Anolis sagrei: one gene and its partner. Each later gene encodes a partner of the first gene's protein in a complex. Links are inferred from orthologs where the notes say so. Each region holds a gene or a part of one and is shown in the gene's direction. Other genes may lie near its edges.

Region 1 (7,644 bases):
AGGAAATGAAATAAGTCAATTCCCTCCGCTTTCCCCCTCCATCACATGATTAGGTCCTAAATGTATGCTGTTTGTTTACTTCTATTATACATGCCATTGCCTTCATCATTATTTTATACCAATGCTGAAAAATGTATTGTACATTGCCTAAGCTGATGTTGATGATTTTGCTCATGATCTAACTGAATCAGAAGTTAGAGTGTTAGCAACCCTCAACATTTATTTTATATCAATGTCCATATAAAATGAACCATAAGCAGTAATTTCAGCTCTTGACAATTTTCCCAATTGTTCATCCTAATTTTGAAACTAGGAATAGACAATATGCTTTGAAACCAGCTGTGAGCTAGAACACAAGAGGCCACTTGCATAATTTAGCTGTACAAAATGCATTTATTATTCCTTGCTTTTATCTGGAGGCTTTTTTGGGATTCCCAACCAAGTATTCAGTAGGTACACATCTGCTTAGCGGCAGTATATTGAATGAAACATTAAAATTGCACAAAGACAGTAGGAAGAATCGTATCATAGGCTATAACAATAAGATAATTTCCAATTTTAAAAACAAGTATAGAAAGCTAACATTCTGATTTCAACCAATTTACAAAATAAATTGTTTCTTAATATTTTGGCTATGAAACCCTGTCAACTGTGATCTCTGTTACTAGTCTTGCTGGAGTGGAACTTAAGGTTGTAGTAAACAAGTTTGCTAATTGTCATGTGTACTTACTGAAACCCACGATTTACTGAATTCAGAATATACTACATACTGCCAACTCTGAGCCTCATTACACCCACTCAGAAATAACAAGGAGACACATCTGATGAAGTGAACATGAACTACATGTTATTAGCTATTTGCAGATCCCAAGCCAACAGAGGAGCCTCCCTAGCACAGAAGAAATTATTGAAGCCGAAGATATTGTAAAAACCTCCCCAACTCATTAAAGCAGTAAGACATCAAGGTCCACTGTCATACATTGTTTGTCATGCTATGTCAATAACCAGTCATTTCAATGGGTGGGTCTGTCATGCCTCCCATCTTTGTGTGCAGAGATTTCTGCAGATCTCACACCAAGGCCCATTCCACTTCTCTTCCCAGCACCCTACATAACCCTAGGTGCCAGTCTAGCAACCAACTTTTCACCAAAGTCCCTAATTCCTTCCTCTAGTAGATCGCTAATTCAGCCAACTATCTGACAAAGTCTCCAGCTGGCCTCTAGGAACTGATTATGTTACAAGAAGAAAGCTTTACTCAGAGCAGGGATGAGACACTATCAGGTTTTATTAGGCCACATTAATATCCACTAGGGTTATGCAATTCAGCTGGACCGTGATCTGTTTTTCGGGGAGTGTGACCCTGCTGTTTCTCTTAGACATCTCAGCGGCTTTCGATACCGTCGACCATGGTATCCTTCTGGGACAACTCGCCGGGATGGGACTTGGGGGCACAGTTTTGCCATGGCTCTGGTTCTTTCAGTTGGTGAAGATGGGGGACACCTGTTCAGACCCCTGACCATTGATCTGTGGAGTCCCACAAGGTTCCATTCTGCCCCCCCCCCCCCATGCTTTTTAACTTCTACATGAAACCGCTGGGAGAGGTCATCCAGAGTTTTGGAGCTTGGGGCCATCTCTATGCAAATGACACCCAACTCCACTACTCTTTTCCATCAGAATCCAAGGAAGCCCCTCAGGTGCTGAACCAGTGCCTGACTGCTGTGATGATCTGGATGATGATGAATAGACTGAAGATCAATCCTGACAAGACAGAGGTCCTCCAGGCAGTTGTACATCTGACTGGGGTATTCTATGGCAACCTGCGCTTGACGGGGTTGCACTCCCCCTGAAGACACAGGTCCGCAGCTTGGGGGTCCTCCTAGATTCAGCACTGACATTTGATGCGCAGGTGTCGGCGGTGGCTGGGAGGGCCTTCACACAATTAAAACTCGTGCACCAGCTGCGACCATACCTCATGAAGTCTGACTTGATGTCACGTTGCTAGGGCTCTACCTTGTTTAGGTAGAGATTAATCAGAACTCCCAGTTTTAACAAACAGTTTAATTAAAACAGCACTTACTTGCTGGCTGTTTTTGTAGTCCAAAATATAAAACACAAAGATAGCACGCAGCCACAGAATAAACAAAAACTGATAGAAAAAATAACTTTGTAGTCAAAAGGGTCCAGTCCAATTGTCAAATGCCGAGAGTTCAATAAACAAAGTCCAGGGATTAAGAGTCTATACCGTAGTCAAAAGCCAGTCCAAAGGTTCAAGGTTCCAGGATTCCAAGGTTACAGGAGACAGGTCAGGATACCGAAAAATCTAACAGACCTGGGGGAAAAACGAACAGCATCCACCACCAAAATACAACAGATACTTTTTCTCCCAAAGATCAGTCCCAAGGCTAGTTCCTTATATCCAGAAACACCCAGCTGCAACCCATCTCTTGCTTACCTCCACCCTTAATTGCTTTCACCCATGAACTCCCACTTACAGATCACCAAACCCTCTAGAACTAATACTCACATTAACCCTTCCATCACCAACCACCATCAACTGCAGACCATATGACACTTGACCATGGTGGTCCATTCCTTAGTTACCTCTAGACTGGACTATTGCAATGCACTCTACATGGGGCTTCCCTTGGAGATGGCCCGGAAACTTCAATTGGTCCACCGTTCAGCAGCCAGATTAATAACTGGGGCAAATTACAGGGAGCGGTCAAGGTGCAGGTTATTACCTATAAAGCCCTGAACGGTTTGGGACCCTTGTACCTTCATGACCGCATCTCCTACCACCAACCTGCATGATCCCTCTGATCCTTTGGTGAGGCCCTCCTTTCACTCCTTCCTCTATCACAGGCAAGACTTGTGGGAACGAGGGAGAAAGCCTTCTCCACTGTGACCCCCGACTATGGAACTCACTACCTGGTGAGATGAGGCAAGACCCCACCTTAGTAGCCTTCAAGAAAAATTTGAAAACTTGGCTCTTCCAATATGCCTTTGGAGAGTAACCATTTGTTCCATCTACAGTGTTGTCCTATGATGCACTTTCCCCCATCCTAAACTAAAAACCTAAACCCACTGTTCATCCTTTTTGGGCTCCTCTAAATCACATTTTTCTATTTCTACCTCATCCAGGGTTTTATCATTTTACCTCATCCATTTGGCTTGCCCATTGTGTTTGATTTTACATTATGTCAATTTGATTTATTAATTTTATTTTGCTACTGTATGTATTTTATTCTGATGTATTTTTGTTGTCCGCATTATGCATTTTATTTTGCTGTAATGTACCTTTGGGCTTGGCCTCATGTTAGCTGCCCTGAGTCCCCTTTGGGGAGATGGTGGTGGGGTATAAATAAAAATTGTTATTCTTATTATTCTTATTCTTCTTCTTATTATTATTATTATTTTACAAGAAGAGGACTTTCCATAGGCAGAGACGGAAAACTGTCAGGTTTTGACTGGACATAGCAGATCAAACACATTGCTGCCTCCAATCCCATTTCTCCTTTGGTACCTGAGTTTTACTGATAGGAACTTTTTTTTACCCCTTTTGTTACTTGTTTTGTGCTTTCAAGTCATTTCTGATGTATGGTGAGTCTAAGTTCATATAGTTCTCTTAGTGAGTTTTGTTCAGAAGGAGTCCACCTATGGGCTGAAAATGTTTGACTTTTCCAAGGTCACCCAACAGGTTTCCATGGCAGAGTATGGATTTGGACCCTGATCTCTAAAGCTGTAGTCCAATGCTCAAAGATCTGCATCATGCTGGCTCCCTGTCATACTTTATTGCATTGCAAATGATGAAATGTATAATTCATTAAACCATTCAGACACAACATACCAGAGCAATTCTTGGCATTTGGGAAAAGTGCTATTTTAATGTGAGGTTTTTCATTTCCAATTTGAGTTTGCTTTATTAAAAAACCACCTGTTTTTACAGGATGATTGCTTCTTCAGATCTGTGGTATTGTAGTGAATTTCCATTTTCATGCATGTATTGCAAATATTAAAAAACTAGCAATATAAAATACGTATTACTGTTCAAAGTAATACATATTAGAAAAAACTATTCCATTGCTATTTTTGTTTGCTGTACAATACACAACATTCAAACCCATAGAGGCAGTTTGCAAACAGAACACAAGGCAGTGTTCTGTTTGCACTCACTGCACTCAACAGTGTGCTGTTTGCACTGTTTGTGATGTGTACTCACAGGCTTCCAGCAAGAAAAAAAATCATATTAGAATAACTTTTGATTCAGCTTTTAAACTCAGCCTGCATCACCTCAATCCCTGGTTTCTCAGTCTCTAATAAGGATCAGAATTTTGTAGACATCTTAGATTAAAGGTTTTGGAAAGAAGTCTCCATTCTCCTCACCTATACCAACTGCTCAGTATATATCTCTCTCTTGAGAACACTGATGCAAGTAGCCAAGACCAGCTCAATCATCGTATAATTTTATTCATGTAGCTAGCCAATGAGTATATGTGAAAGGAGGAGCTTGCTGTTGAAAGGACTCTTTAGGGGGATGATTGTAATAGCAAAGGCAGACATACACATGAACAGACACACACGCACTTCTCTCAGTGCTTTTAAGCTTCAAATCTGAAAGGACATTCTCTGGCTTTTGTTCCCCCTGCCTCTTTTTCCTTCCTCCTCTCCCTGTCTCTCCCTCTCCCTCCTATTTCTGTTTCGAATAGAGAGCAATCTGAAACAAGCACATCTCAGACAACCTAAGTGAAATTGGACCTATACAAGTACCTACAATGGATTGGATGAACATCTCCCGGTGTCCTCACCAAAGGGAAGAAGAAATAGAGCCTGTAAGGAGATACTTCAATAGCACCGAGGAGTATCTTGCCTTTTTATATGGACCCAAACGGAGCCCTGTCTTCCTACCTATGTCTTGGGTTTATGCTATGATTTTCATAGTTGGAGTGTCCGGCAACCTTTTAGTGTGCCTTGTGATTCTTAAGCACCGAAACATGAAGACTCCCACTAACTACTATCTCTTCAGTCTTGCTATTTCAGACTTGTTGCTCTTGCTCTTGGGAATGCCTTTGGAAATCTATGAAATGTGGAGCAACTACCCCTTCTTGTTTGGACCAGTTGGGTGCTATTTTAAGACAGCCCTCTTTGAGACTGTATGCTTTGCCTCCATTCTGAATGTCACAACAGTGAGTGTGGAGAGATATATTGCCATCCTTCATCCCTTCCGGGCCAAACTGAAGAGCACAAGGCGACGTGCTTTGAGGATCATTATTGCCCTATGGCTCCTGTCCATCCTTTTCTCTCTCCCCAACACCAGCACCCACGGCATTGTGCAGCAGTTTTTTCCAAACCACACAGAGGTCCCAGCCTCTGAGACATGTGCTGTGGTCAAGCCCATGTGGATCTACAACTGCATCATCCAGCTGACATCTTTTCTCTTTTATGTCCTGCCGATGAGTGTCATCAGTGTGCTGTACTGCCTGATGGGGTTGAAAGTGAGTCCTGACTAAAATATGTGAAGTTTTCTCTCATAATCCATGGCATTTTATATCATGTCAATCAGAGTTTGGAAAGAAAGGTTTTCATTTTTTTAAACAGACTTCCCAGAATTCCCCAGCCAACAGTGGTCATGCTGTCTGAGGAATTCTAGAGTAGTAGATCCAAAAATTCCTAAAACTCTCTCTCTCTCTCTGTGTGTGTGTGTATATATCTATATCTATATCTATATTGTGTTGACATGTTAAATTGATGTTTCATTCCCACCCCACCCCCCTCACTCATGTTCCATAATTTTTATTTAGTGTACTATGTGCATTTCTTAGCTTCTACATCCCTCCAAGTCCAAATATGAATAAGACCCACTGGAAAATTATTCCAGGCACCAGCTTTTTCAATCTGTTTATACTATGACTCAATTACAAATTTAGTTTGTACTCTAGCATATTTCTTCGGGTTTCAATATTCTTTATTAATTTTCAATTATAACATCGAAAGAGGGGGAACAATACTTGAGAAAAGGAAAGCTTGGAAATACTAAGATATTGGGCCAAAGGTGTGGTAGAAGACATGAGGGTAGTAGTGGGGGGAAAGGAAAGGGGGGTCAGGGAGGGGGTTAAGGAGGGATGTGTTGCTGGTCACTTCCGTTTGAGTCACAGAGGGGTAGTATATTATGAGGAAAGTCAATTTACGGTTATTGGTTTAAATTCCGAAAGGGAACATGGGATAAATTCCCTATTTTCTGTTATTTATATAAGTTATCCTTATTATTGTTAGTCTATTATTTCTGAATGTTCTTTAAGTATTCCTTACATTGGTTCCAGTTGGTCATGGTTTCCTTATTCTCATTTTTCATTAAGCACGAAAGTCTATCCAAATCCATGAATTCTATAATTTTTTTGATCCATTCGTCGGCCGTGGGGGTTTCTTTGGTTTTCCACTTTTGGGCTATTAGTATCCTGGCTCCCGAAGCAAGGTAGAAGAATATTTTTTCCTCATTTTTGTTCAAGCAGAGGTCTGTTATGTTAAGTAAATAGTGTTCCGGCTTCATTGTTAGACTTGTTTTAATTATCTTTTGTGTGTGTTTATGGATAGCTTGCCAGAATTTTTGAATTTCCTTGCAGTCCCAGAACATGTGATAGTAAGTTCCTTTCTCTCTCCTACATTTCCAACATAGATTGTTCTGGTTTTTATTGATCTTAGATAGCAAAGCTGGTGTTAAATGCCATCTGTAGAACATTTTGTAGGAGTTTTCTATGATGGTAGTAGCTTTAGTAAATTTGTTGGTCTTTTTCCAGGCTAACTCCCATTCTCTGAGTCTTATAGATCTTCCCAAGTCTTTCGCCCATTTGATCATAGTTTCTTTTATCAATTCTTGTTCATTACTCCATTCGAGCAGGCATCTATATAATGTCGTAATCACCTTTTTCTCTTTTTTCATTACTTTTTCCCATACAGTTTCAGACGCATTGAATCCTTTTTTACAATCTTCCTTGTAGCATTCTTTTGCTTGTAAGTAGTGGAACCAACCTACTTCCTCTTCCGACTCCCTAAGCTCGTCCATAGATTTGAGACACCAATGATTATGTTCTTTCTTTAATAATTGGTGATAGTTCAACCATTTGTTTCTGGGTAGTTCTTTCTTGTGGAAGGCCTCCGATGGCGACACCCACATGGGTGTTTTCGTATAAAAATAATTTTTATATTTTTTCCATACCTTTAGGAGCGCTGATCTGATATAATGATTATTAAATGATCTTTCTACTTTGTCTTTCTCATACCAAAGGTATGCGTGCCATCCCCTTCTCGTATCCCAGCCTTCCAGAGTAAGAATCCTCTTGGGCTCTAGTGAAGCCCATGCCACAGTCCAGGATAAGGCGCATGCCTCAAAGTACAGCAATAGGTCCGGCATTGCCAGACCACCTCTGCTTTTCGAATCAGTAAGGGTTTTAAATTTGACCCTGGGTTTCTTCCCATCCCAGACGAAACTCAGAATATCTTTGTTCCATTTCTTGAAGCATGTGTTGTTTTTAATGATCGGTAACGTCTGGAATAGGAAGATCATCCTAGGTAACACACTCATTTTAATAACCGAGATTCTCCCTAGCCAGGAGAGGTTGAGATATTTCCAGTTTTTAATTTTCTTTCGAA
Region 2 (6,922 bases), on another chromosome or scaffold:
CCTTTCCTATTCATTGTATTTGACATCTTTCAGCAGGTAAACATAGAATGCAAAGCCTTAAAGTAAGTATTTTGGCCTGACATCTACAACTTTGCCATCTCATGTTGTCACTCTGGCTTAGTGGCATGCTTGCCTCTCAATGGAAATTGATTTTAAGGCTACAATTGCTTAGGAGCCATGATAATTTCAGATTTGGGGATCTTTGATGTTTTAGATTCGGAATTCTCTGGTTCATTGCTTAATTAATTTATTGTTTATTATTTATTTCAAACATTTGTACCCTGCCCTTCTCAACCCTCCCCCCCTCCGGGGGGGGGACGGACTCAGGGCGGCTTACATCTGGCACAATTGGATGCCGTTACATATAAATAATACATATTGTAATTACACAGTAAATTAATTTTAAAATTAGTTTTAAAATAAAAAGTACATTAATAAAAATGCAAACCAGTAGCCTCTCATAGTCTCTGACTTGGTTACTGCCAAAATTTGGGCTCACAACAACTTCCTTACTTGGGCTAATTCTGTAAAACTGATACTGAGTCCAACTAGCTCAGAATTGTTTCTCCAGGCCTTTGATGTCTACTCTGATTAGTAATGACTGATGGGGATCTCTGGAACTATCTTTCACTATGATGCTTTTCATTTCCTTTCATAAGTTAGGATCCAATGTTGGGGTGTGCGTGTGAATATATAACTTTTTACATGTAATTTCGGATGCTTACTCTTTGCAAACCTTCCCCAAAGACACTTTTCATGAATCCCAAACTTATGCCCATTTTTAGAAGTATGTCTCACTATGTTCAATGCAACCTACACCCACAACTTGCTTAGGGCTAAACTAGATGTGACATCAAAAGATTTTTTTAAAGAAAAAGTTTAATAGTAGCTATAAAATGGGCCAGAGAGAATTATAGGAAGGACTGCAGAGTTGTGCAAGAGATTTCAGTGTTTCTTCCTGTCTTTTCCCTATTAAAATCCTAATGTCCAATCTGTTCTCCCTTGTAGAAACATATAGGTATTTGCATACAACACCAGAATTTTTATATCCATAACAGGAACGGATTTTTTGAGGATCTTCTTCATATGTGTCTTGAACACCAATTTCCATAAACCCCCAGACAGCTCCTTAGGTGACTGCAAATTTAGGGAAGCTCTAGTCCAGTGGTTCCCAACCTTTGGACCTCCGGGTATTTTGGACTTCAGTTCCCACAATTCCTAACAGCTGGTAAACTGGCTGGGATTTCTGGGAGTTGAAGTACAGAATAACTGGATGACCAAAGGTTGGAAACCACCTCTCTAGTCCAACAAACCTGGAGAACAACTGGGATGGGGTGGCTGAAATGTGCGCACAGATGGAGTCTTTATGAATAGGAATACAGTAAATCAGGGGTGATCTATGGGGTCCCTCCACATGTTGCTAGACTGCAGCTCTTAGCATTTGTTACAATTGGATATGCTGATAAGGGACGATGAAAGAGGAAATCTCTGAAGCAAATGAATATAGAAATGGAAGAAATTTCTCACCTGGAGCATCTCTACCACCTTCTGCTTGGGAAGTCTGGTCTACACATAACATTGAATGATGCAATAATCCTGGATCATATCAGAATGACATTTTTAAAATGTTCATCCCTGGGAAATGAATCTCCTTGCAAGCAGAAAACTATCACATAATTGAACTGAAAGAGAAATAGAATCATTTTTTCTAGTGCACATTCTCTCGTAGAGCACTGAATAGGTATTGAAGAACCAAGGTCTGTTTTGCCACCTGAGGATTCATCACCTTGTTCCATGCTTGCTACACTACATGTGCTAGTCACAAAAGACTGATGGGACCAACAGCTCTTTTCATGATATTGTAACCTTCAATCCAGTTTTGGGGATGGTTAACTTCCAGACTCAGGTGTTAACCCTGTGATCTTCTGAATTAGTTCTTTGTTATTACATTTGTTTGCTGCATTAATGTAAAACATGGTTGTGTATTCATGTTGTAGATGGAATAATTTGGTGATCTGTCAGGCATGGAATGTTCCATGTGAGGCATGGATTATTGGGACTTGTGATCAGCTGGTTTTCTGAGGGGATTGTAAAAGTGAAGATGCATATGGTTGTTAGTCTGGTGAGAATTGGGTCTGTCAGTATTAGAAATTAGTTAGTGGGATGCAGAATGTGAATGATTATAAGTTAGGATCTGAGATAGAAGAGAACTAAGACTCAGAGTCAGACTTAGCAAGGAGATGTGTATGAGAGGGAAATATGTCATTTCGATGCATTAAAAACAAATCTAATCTCATGTTCGATTTCTGATAAATACATCTTTTTGCATGAAATGCTTTGGTCTCTTGGAAAGCCAAGTTCAGACAAGGTGTCTATGGTGGCAGTTCAGAATCAAGAGTGGGGTGCCCAGTGGAAAAAGAAGATAAATAAAATCTCACACAGAACCACAAGGGCTTAGAGGAATAAATGGAAGCCCTCACATTTGGTAGTTTGCGTGGGATAAATGGAAGCCCTCACATTTGGTAGCTGTGGGTGATAAAATGGAACCCCTCACGTTTGGTAGTTTGGTTGGGAGAAATGGAAGCCCTCATATATTGTAGGTGTATTTGGGATAAATTGAAGCCATCACATGAGGTAGTTGTATTTGGGATAAATGGAAGCCAGCATATGAGGTAGCTTGGTTGGGTTAAATGGAAGCCTTCACATTTGGTTGCTTGGTTGGGAGAAATGGAAGCCCTCATATTTGGTAGCTGTATTTGGAATAAATGGAAGCCCTCTCACAAGATAGCTTGGTTGGTTAAATGGAAGCCTTCACATTTGGTAGCTTGGTAGGGATAAATGAAAGCCTTCACATTTGTTTGCTTGGTTGGGATAAATGGAAGCCCTCACACTTGGTTGCTTGGTTGGGAGAAATGGGAGCTTTCATATTTGGTAACTGTGTGTGGGATAAATGGAAGCCCTCACATGAGGTAGCTTGGTTGGGTTAGATAGAAGCCTTCACATTTTGTTGCTTGGTTTGGAGAAATGGAAACCCTCACATGAGGTAGCTTGGTTAGGTTAAATGGAAGCCTTCCCATTTGGTAGCTGTGGGTGGGAGAAATGGAGGTCCTCATATTTGGTAGCTGTAGTTGGGTTAAACGGAAGCCTTCCCATTTGATAGCTTGGTTGGGATAAACGGAAGCCCTCACATGAGGTAGCTCTATTTGGGGACAAATGGAAGCCCTCACATTTGGTAGCTTGGTTGGGATAAATGGAAGCCCTCATATTTGGTAACTGTGTGTGGGATAAATGGAAGCCCTCACATGAGGTAGCTTGGTTGTGTTGAATGGAAGCTTTCACATTTGGTAGCTTGGTTTAGAGAAATGGAAGCCCTCATATTTGGTAGCTGTATTTGGGATAAATGGAAGCCCTCGCATGAGGTAGCTTGGTTGGGTTAGATGGAAGCCTTCACATCTGGTAGCTTGGTTGGGAGAAACGGAATCCCTCATAGCTGTGTTTGGGATAAATAGAAGCCCTGTTTGCTGGCAAGGGTTGGGATAAGTGGAAGCCTTCATATTTGGTAGGTGTAGGTGGGATAAATGCAAGCCCTCACATCTGGTGGCAGATGTTGAGATAGGTGGAAGTCTTCATATTTTGAGGAAGGGGATTGGGAGAAGTGAAAAACCCTCATATGTGGTAAAAAAAATGGGGGAAAGCCGTTTAGTCCCTTTCCCTACCAACTGCTAGCTAGAGCTGGTGACTAAATAATTTGAGAAATAGGAGAACTCTTTGGAGGGTGTGTGCGTGACCAGGTTTAGACAGTTGCCTTTCTGACAGAGCGTGACTCTGAGCCAAGCTCTGCCCTCCTCTTCCTCCTCCTCCTCCTGTCCGGGAGATTTAAAAGTCCGCTCTGTTTGGCTGGGAGTTGCAAAGCCGGGAGGAAAGCAGCGGCGGCAAAAAGCGCGCCAAAGGCAGAGAGGTGCCCAGGAACCATGCAAAGCCGGGCGGGCGCTTGTTGGCGACCCCAGCCTTCCTTGGCAGCCTCGGAGGAGGGCGGGAGAAGCCTTTGCCGCCCCAGGAAGATGCCCCTCGGGTCGGGCACCCCTTGGGGGCTGCTCCTCTTCCTCCTCGCCTTTGGGGTCAGCTCCTGCAAAGGTAAGGGCTCTTCCCACCCTCCCCTCCCTTCGCCACCCCACGCCTTTCTCCCTCTTTCAGGCGCTCCTTCTGTCTAGAGATCTACTCCTCCCTCCAAGTGTCCCTCCTTATCTTTTCTCCTGGGCTTGCTTGCTTCTGAGATCTATATGGATGCATTTGTATGTATATGTATATTTATGTCACTTTTGGTTGTTAGAGGTATCAGGCTGGATCTACACTGCCCTATATCCCAGAATCTGATTCCAGATTATCTGATTTGAGAGTTCTAGTTTTTGTTTAATAGTTTCAGTTGTTAGGTTGGATATCTCTTTTTATTGTTAGAGGTATTAGGCTGGATCTGCACTGCCCTATATCCCAAGTTCTGATTCCAGATTATCTGATTTGAACTGAATTCTACACTGCCAGATAATCTGGGATAAACAGATAATCTGGGATCAGATCCTGGAATATAAGGCAGTGTAGATCCAGCCTCATATCCTACAAGCAGTTTGATAATATCACCTAGATCAGATCATAATTAAAATTCATATATATATATATATATATATATATACTTAGTTATAATTATATTAATTATGATATGATTATTCTTAATTAGGATATAATTTAGATAATACTACAAAACTGCTTGTAAGATCTGAGGCTGGATCTACACTGTCCTATATCCTAGGTTCTGATTCCAGATTATCTGATTTGAACTGAATTCTATGAGTCTACACTGCCAGATAATCTGGGATAAACAGGTAATCTGGGATCAGATCCTGGAATATAGGGCAGTGTAGATCCAGCCTCAGATCCTACAAGCAGGTTTGTAATATCACCTAGATCAGTGTTTCTCAACCTGGGGGTCGGGACCCCTGGAGAGGTCGTGAGGGGGTGTCAGAGGGGTCACCAAAGACCATCAGAAAACACAGTATTTTCTGTTGGTCATGGAGGCTCTGTGTGGGAAGTTTGGCATAATTTTATCATTGGTGGGGTCCAGAATGCTCTTTGATTGTAGGTGAACTATAAATCCCAGCAACTACAACTCCCAAATGTCAAGGTCTATTTTCCCCAAACTCCATCAGTGTTCACATTTGGGAACTTTGAGTATTCATACCAAGTTTGGTCTGGATCCATCATTGTTTGAGTCCACCGTGCTCTCTGGATGTAGGTGAACTACAACTCCAAAACTCAAGATCAATGCCTGTCAAAACCTTCCAGTATTTTCTGTTGGTCATGGGACCTTGAAGGAGCTGGGGGTGGTGACGGCCGACAGGGAGCTCTGGCGTGGACTGGTCCATGAAGTCATGAAGAGTCGGAGACGACTGAACGAATGAACAACAACAACAACATGGGAGTTCTGTGTGCCAAGTTTGGTTCTATTCCATTGTTGATGGAGTTCAGAATGCTCTTTGATTGTAGGTGAACTATAAGTCCCAGCAACTACAACTCCCAAATGACAAAATCAATCCCCCCAACCCCACCATTTTTTAAATTTGATTGTATTGGGTATTTGTGCATAATTTGGTCCAGTGAATGAAAATACATCCTGCATATCAGATATTTATATTACGATTCATAATGGTAGCAAAATTACAGTTATGAAGTAGCAACAAAAATAATTTTATGGTTGGGGATCACCACAAGATGAGGAAATGTATTAAGTGGTCATGGCATTAGGAAGATTGAGAACCACTGACCTAGATCATATCACAATACATCATCTCTCTCTCTCTCTCTCTCTCTCTATATATATATATAATTAAAAATTATCATAATTAAAAATTATGATATGATACATATATGTGTGTGTGTGTGTGGGTGGGTGTGTAGAGAGAGAGAGAGAGAGTTGTTGTTCATTCGTTCAGTCACTTCCGACTCTTCGTGACCTCATGGACCAGCCCACGCCAGAGCTCCCTGTCGGCCATCACCACCCCCAGCTCCTTCAAGGTCAAGCCAGTCACTTCAAGGGTACCATCCATCCATTCATCGTGCCCTTGGTCAGCCCCTCTTCCTTTTTCCTTCCATTTTCCCCAGCATAATTGTATTCTCTAAGCTTTCCTGTCTTCTCATGATGTGGCCAAAATACTTCATCTTTGCCTCTAATATCCTTCCTTCCAATGAGCTGCTCTCTCACCCCCTCCCTCTATATATAATTATATTTAATTATAATTATTTTAGTTATGATGTGATTATTTTTAATTACGATATGATTATTGTTAATTATGATATGATCTATATAATACTACAAAACTGCTTGTAAGATCAGAGGGTGGATCTACACTGCCCTATATCCCAGGATCTGATCCCAGATTATCTGCTTATCCCAGATTATATTATTTGGCAGTGCAGACTCATAGAATTCAGTTCAAATCAGATAATCTGGGATCAGAACCTGGGGTATAGAGCAGAGTAGATCGAGCCTGATACCTCTAACAACCAAAAGAGATATCCAACCTAACAACTGAAACTATTAAACAAAATCCAGAACTCTCAATCAACCCAATAACACTGTGCAACACCAGTTTTGTTCCTGGGTTATAAATGTCGTTTCCTAATTGGTTCTATCATAAAAACATGGGGCAAGTTTATTAAACTGCCCATATTTTGTTTTAGACGGACCTCCTGCAGCACATTTTTGCTATGTTTTTCAAGGAATATATTTTTAAGTTTCAACCAATTTGACCTAATTTGTGGCAGCCACAAAAACAAAGTTTCTGAAGTAGAACTATTATTTTCAAAATAAGTACTGCCCATTTAAACAGGAAATAACACTTTCAAACCAGGAACAGATTTTGTTTTCACA

What was found. The genes of interacting proteins can lie anywhere in the genome.
Region 2: the proteins of NMUR2 (region 1) and NMU are in contact, whole or in part, in a cryo-EM structure (PDB 7XK8), measured with the Homo sapiens proteins. The link is inferred for Anolis sagrei from reciprocal best matches to the Homo sapiens genes NMUR2 and NMU. Residues at the interface, in NP_064552.3 of Homo sapiens: Ser42, His43, Gly98, Glu102, Glu105, Met106, Trp107, Arg108, Asn109, Tyr110, Pro111, Thr123, Phe126, Glu127, Asn181, His185, Pro199, Ser201, Thr203, Cys204, Val206, Tyr213, Phe284, Arg288, Phe291, Glu295, Trp297, Ser298, Glu299, Ala302; in NP_006672.1 of Homo sapiens: Glu146, Phe152, Ala153, Ser154, Gln155, Gly158, Tyr159, Phe160, Leu161, Phe162, Arg163, Pro164, Arg165, Asn166.

Annotation. Positions count from the first base shown.
Region 1 is NC_090022.1:83,702,531-83,710,174, forward strand, and holds the start of NMUR2 (neuromedin-U receptor 2), read left to right. Parts: upstream 1-4,559; 5' UTR 4,560-4,772; coding exon 4,773-5,492; intron 5,493-7,644. UniProt on the Homo sapiens protein: Receptor for the neuromedin-U and neuromedin-S neuropeptides.
Region 2 is NC_090025.1:73,560,731-73,567,652, forward strand, and holds the start of NMU (neuromedin-U), read left to right. Parts: upstream 1-3,841; 5' UTR 3,842-3,971; coding exon 3,972-4,134; intron 4,135-6,922.